Oryctolagus cuniculus: one gene and its partner. The protein of the gene in region 2 interacts with the protein of the main gene of each other region in a pairwise test. Links are inferred from orthologs where the notes say so. Each region holds a gene or a part of one and is shown on either strand. Other genes may lie near its edges.

What was found. The genes of interacting proteins can lie anywhere in the genome.
Region 1: the proteins of NFKB1 (region 2) and TNIP2 interact in binary tests that used the Homo sapiens proteins (3 or more experiments, as listed by UniProt). The link is inferred for Oryctolagus cuniculus from reciprocal best matches to the Homo sapiens genes NFKB1 and TNIP2.

Annotation. Positions count from the first base shown.
Region 1 is NC_091433.1:1,473,574-1,476,070, reverse strand, and holds the end of TNIP2 (TNFAIP3-interacting protein 2), read left to right. Parts: intron 1-1,769; coding exon 1,770-1,997; downstream 1,998-2,497. UniProt on the Homo sapiens protein: Inhibits NF-kappa-B activation by blocking the interaction of RIPK1 with its downstream effector NEMO/IKBKG.
Region 2 is NC_091439.1:62,591,809-62,595,308, reverse strand, and holds part of NFKB1 (nuclear factor NF-kappa-B p105 subunit), read left to right. Parts: coding exon 1-149; intron 150-560; coding exon 561-730; intron 731-1,037; coding exon 1,038-1,140; intron 1,141-3,204; coding exon 3,205-3,329; intron 3,330-3,500.

The sequences.
Region 1 (2,497 bases), on a different chromosome or scaffold from region 2:
CCTGGAGAGGGGCCGGCGTAAGTCAGGACTGGCGAGGTCTCTGGCGGTGTGACCTGTGGTGCCGACCTGCCCGTCCACACTGCAGAAACCCCAGGGGAGGTTCGTTCCTTTGGCCACTTAGCGAGTTTCTGGTACAGCCCCGGCCTGGAGTAAACTTCCTGTGCTCACGTGGACTGGACCGCCTCTGGGAGGCGGCGCACCCGGGGCCGGAGCGCGGACGCGGAGCCCTCCCAGCTGGGTGTGTGGGGCCTCCAGCTCTGGTCTGTCCCGAGCAGCCCCTGGGCCTCATGGGTAGCTTCCGCTTCCCATCCCCCGTGCATGGGCGTAGGAGAGTCACGGTGGACACCCTTGGGCTGAGTCTTCGTCAGGGGCCATTTCTTCTGTGCATGACGGGGGGAGGGGTCGCGGCAGGGCCTGTGTTCCCCCCTGAGTCCACAGGTGACAGGGAGGTGCCAGAGGCTTTGCCGGCCCAGCCCTGGCGGCTTCCTTGGCATCGCTGGATGGAGCCTGGGTATGCGGGTGGCCCCTCACACCCCAGTTCCTGCTTCCCCGAGGCCCTGGGGCTGCCGGCCAGGACAGCTCCCCCAGCACGCACCCTGGGCAGGAACAGGAGGTTTTCCTGGGACTTGGTTTTGCCTGTGGGTTTCCGGCCTCGAGGGATTTGAGGGAGCGTGTGACGGGCTGAGGAGCCACCAAGGCTGTGGTCCTGAGGGCGGGCTCAGGCAGCCTCTCAGGGGCGGGGCCCCCAGGAGCCACCAGAACCAGCCGCAGGCCGCAGGCCTGGGTTCCTGAGGTGGCCCCACGGGCAGAATCCCTGGTGGCGGCGTTGGGAGCACTCGCTGTTGGTCAGTGGCAGTGCGCAGGCGTGGGCGACAGGCGTGGGCGACAGGCGTGGGTGACAGGCGTGGGTGACAGGCGTGGGCGACAGGCGTGGGCGACAGGCTCAGCGACAGGCGTGGGCGACAGGCTCAGCGACAGGCTCAGCGACAGGCGTGGGTGACAGGCTCGGCGACAGGTGTGGGTGACAGGCTCGGGCGACAGACGTGGGCGACAGGTGTGGGTGACAGGCTCAGCGACAGGCGTGGGCGACAGGCTCAGCGACAGGCTCAGCGACAGGCGTGGGCGACAGGCTCAGCGACAGGCTCAGCGACAGGCGTGGGTGACAGGCTCGGCGACAGGCGTGGGTGACAGGCTCAGCGACAGACGTGGGCGACAAGCTCGGGCGACAGGTGTGGGTGACAGGCGTGGGTGACAGGCTCAGCGACAGGCGTGGGTGACAGGCTCAGCGACAGGCGTGGGCGACAGGCTCGGGCGACAGGCCGTCCTGCCACTGAGGCAAAGCCAGTTTCAGACGGGAGGGGGCACACTGAAGCCGCTGGCCACAGGGCTCCACGACAGGTGTTTGGAGCAAGGTGGTGCTGCGTGGCCGACAAGGCTGAGCCAGGGGCTCCCCCTGCTGCCACTGGAGGCCCCCAAGCCCCAGGGCGTGGTGCTGAGGGCTGGGGCGTAGTCCGTGTGGTCCCACCCAGAGCTCCGCCACCCCCGACCCGTGGTGGCGGCTGGGGCATGTCGCCAAGGCTGCCTGCCAGTTGGGTTTCTTGGGGCTCATGGGTCCAGTCGGGCCTGCTTTCCACTGTAAGTGCAGGGAGCACGGGAGGGCACGCGCGTGGTCTGCGTGGTCACTCACGGCGCTCTCTGTGTCTTCATCTGTCGGCGGGCCCTGCGGCACAGCAGGAAGCCCCGTGTCACCACACCCCTGCCTTCCGCAGGACCGGGAGCCGGGCCCCTGCCTAGAGACTGACGCGCCGGAGCTCGCGGCGCGCACTGGCTGGCGGCCTGGGCCTGGGCCCCAGCAGCTGGAGCCCCGTGCAGAGGGCAGAGGCCCCCGCGCAGCCCAGGGAGCCCAGGGGGCCCTGCAGTGCCCTCACTGCCTGCGGTGCTTCGGCGACGAGCAGGGCGAAGAGCTCCTCGGGCACGTGGCCGAGTGCTGCCAGTGACCGTCCCCCGCGCCTGGCAGCGCCCGGCTCGGCCAGGTGTCCCGGGCCCGGGCCCTCACGACGACCATCCGCCTGGGTTCCCCTTTCGGTGCGGAACAGAAGGGGTCAGCGGCCTGGGTGGAGACGGACGGCGCGCTGGCGGGGCTGGCGGGGCTGGCGGTGGCCACGGGGTCAGGAGCATCTGGCCTGGGGAGGTCCCAGCCCCATCCTTCAGACGGAGTCGGGCTGAAGCCACAGCAGGACATCTAGGGAGCCCCGCTCGCAGCGCCTGCCCTGGGGAATGGGGAATGGGGAACAGGGCCCCGCGTGCCAGCCCCGCCCCGGCTTGTGAGAAAGGGCAGTGGCCAGCGGGCGCCCCGCTCGCAGCGCCTGCCCTGCGGAATGCGGCTGGGAGGCCGTGGGAGGCAGCGCCGCAGTCGCCGTCCCTCGGGCCTCGCTGCCACGGCAGAGCCATTCGCAGGGCAGCCGCGTTTCTCGCGCGCCACATTCATTCTCTATTC
Region 2 (3,500 bases):
GCTGCGAGCTGGGGCAGACCTGAGTCTTTTGGACCGCTTGGGCAACTCTGTTTTGCACCTAGCTGCCAAAGAAGGACAAGACCAAATTCTCAGTGTCTTACTCAAGCACAAAAAGGCACCACTACTTATTGACCATCCCAATGGGGAAGGTAAGAGACAAGCATGCAGTGCTGGTATAACCTCCTCTCTTAGCTTTCTAATTACCAGGGATTCAATACGTGTGTTAACTTGATTTGTGCCCAGAGGGCTTTCCTTAGGCACCTGGAGCTCATTGTCTCTTGTGGTATTCCTTTTCACTCAGCTCACTGTAACTAATTCCTTTAATTTGGAGGAGTGAGTAGGAAGAAAAGGCAGAATCCTGAGCAAACACTTATCTTGAAGTCTGTGAAGCGGCACTGATTCCACTCCTGTTTATGTACTCTCAATGGCTCCTGAGAACACAGTTGGAGCCTATGGCTTGCAGGGCAGAACAATACACCTATAGTGTCTGCAGAGCTGACAGGCAGCCTCTGTCCCTGTGATCGATCCAGTTTTGCCACTTCCTTCTGCTTGGGCCCTAGGTCTGAATGCCATCCACCTAGCCGTGTTGAGCAATAGCCTGCCGTGCCTGCTGCTGCTGGTGGCCGCTGGGGCGGATGTCAATGCCCAGGAGCAGAAGTCGGGGCGCACGGCACTGCACCTAGCTGTGGAACATGACAACATCTCCTTGGCCGGCTGCTTGCTCCTGGAGGTGAAGAACAAACTTATCTCCCAGGGGAGACTCAGGGATCCTTTAAAACAATGAAGTCAGCTAACAATTCTCTGACTATATTCAGCTTTACTGATTTAACATCTGTGCAAGCTTTCAGAGTAGCACCTTTAGGCATTCCCCCAACCCCAGCATCTCTAACTGGAGATGACCTCATTGGCAGAGCCAGCCCAGAGCAGTGACTGGGCTAGTAGATAAGACCGCAGGGGCCATGCCCACAGGAGGAGGTGGGGACAAAAGGCTGAGAGAACCTTTCGCTAAGCCTGTTCCTGTGTGGGCCGGATTTTAGGGCGATGCCCACGTGGACAGTACCACCTACGATGGAACTACACCCCTGCATATAGCGGCTGGGAGAGGATCCACCAGACTGGCAGCTCTTCTCAAAGCAGCAGGTAAGAAGGCCTGGTGGTCGCTGATGGAAAATGTGTTCCGAAATTCAAACCCAGCTCCAGCAAAGCCACAGAAAAGCACAGGTAAATAAAAATTCTGTGGCTGATCACATTTTAACTGCAATAGAGACACTGTTTGAACTAGTAATCCTGGCTTCTCCCCGATCCTCATGCCAGTTGATACTCTCTGATTCATCTGTTTGTTTTGGTTTGGGCTATTTAGATTAACTCTCTTGACAAAGGATCTTCCTAAAGCAGAGTTTAGTTACTTAAGCATTCTGAGCAGCACCAGTCTCAGATCATGTCAGAGGTCCTCAGGAGAAGTCAAAGACTTCCTTCAGAGTAGGAGAAGGCATAACCATGTGCGAGGCACTAACCGTTGCTGCTGTTTGTGGACCTTATTGTGGGCCAGGCATTTGCTCGGTTAATCCACAGTAACCTTTGCAGTGATGCCCATCTTAACAGCCAAGGAGACAAGACCAGCATGGCTGGCCGGGTCTCATGCCCTTTGTCCCAATGCGTGGCAGAGTGTAAGTCATGCTTCCGCAGTCTGAATTTCCAGATTTCATCTTCTCTCCTCTGTTCCTCTCCCTGCTTCGTTCCTGGGTTATTCTAGTGCATCCTCTTGTGCTGTGAAGTATAGACATTATTCCCAGTCATCTTGGACTCCACATTTAGAACCTTAAACAATATTGAAATCTGTACTTCAAGCTGCCCTAACATAACCTCAGGGGTTATTAAAAATTTTTAGAGGGTGTTAAATTACTTCAAGGAAACAGAGCAGGTTAAAGTACCATCTTGAAGGTATAGGAACCATTTCTTTGGAAGCACACAATTTTCTGACATGTAAGATCATATCCCAGATAAGCACCAGCCTTTTCCTTTGTCAAGTTGAACTTTTTCTTGAGTAAGAGACTTTGCAGCATGTTCATGAATAATTTTAGAAGCCACTGATTATGATTAAGAAATGCCTTCAAACAAGTAGAGTTATCTTGCCTTCAACACTGCCCTCTCTTGCATACTCAGACTCCTATTAAAGGAGTAGCAAGTAGCAGTTCTTCTGATGAAAATAAACTCAGCTAAAAGCCTAGTTCTGAGCTCAAAGTCATGACGAAGGTCGCATCAGGAACAGACACGGCTCAGCTCCTCTGTTTCTCAGCCTTTTAAACTGTTTATCTTTGTTTCTCCATTCCTTTCATGGTCAGGACTGGGAGAATGACATCGAGAAATAGCAGGCATATCGTTCAGTGACTCTCATCAGGCCCTCATTAGGCCCTCTCTTACTACTGAAGTTAGTCCCAATCAGATAATCTCCCAGCAAAATACAAACAGGCTCCCTCTCCCGACACAGTATGCTGAGCCTACTACTGTTCATTAGACATCAAACGAAACATGTTCTCATAAAAATACTGTCTGCCTTTGAAAAGTAACTCTTGCTCTAACCTTTGAGTTATTTTGGGTGATTTCTTGCCAGAAGCTAAAGAACAGACTAGATTTCCCAAGATTCATTAGCCCCAAAATTTTCAGTTACTACACACCCTAGCAGGAGGTTTTCTTGGTGCTTTTTGTTTCAAGATCAGAGCTCTGCCAGTGCTGTACACAGGAATAAAATTGACCATGCTGTCATAAAACCTGAAGCGTCTTAGATCTTTTGTTTGAGTGAGAGCAGAGGCTGAAAAATGTGCCCTGGCAAGCATAAGTTCGAACAGTTAAGACTTCAGTCCTGAGGGTGCACCGCCATCCCCGTCAACTGCTGTCCATTAGGCTCAGATCAAGGATGTGCCGTTCAGTTGGAAAATGCCCAGTGGTTAAATGTGGAAGAGTATTCAAAGTCTTGTGTTTTCCATGGTATCCTTTGCTATATAGGGTGTCATGAGACACCTTTGTAGTCAAAGTAAATTAAAATTTAAAAAGAACTTCAGTGGAAACATACTTTATGCATTAAAAATTAACCAGGTAATTGCCTGTAGCAGCTACCGTGCTTTGCCTTTGGAAATCTGACCCCTGCAAGCAGCTGAAGTTGGCAAGACCTGGGTTTACCTACTGCTGTGTAATGCGTCTTCACAGGAGCAGATCCCCTGGTGGAGAACTTTGAGCCTCTCTACGACTTGGACGACTCTTGGGAGACGGCTGGAGAGGATGAAGGAGTTGTGCCTGGAACCACTCCTCTGGATATGGCCGCCAGCTGGCAGGTGAGTGCTGTGCTGTCTGCCTGATGGTGGCTCCTGAGGAAGCCGGAGCTTCAGGAGTGGAAGAACAGATGGTCTTCCTGGGACTTCATTCCCCAAGGAACATGTCTTTCATTGTTAAGAAAGTCTGCTTGTCAAGAGCCATATTGCTCTTGAAAACCCTATCCATGAAAG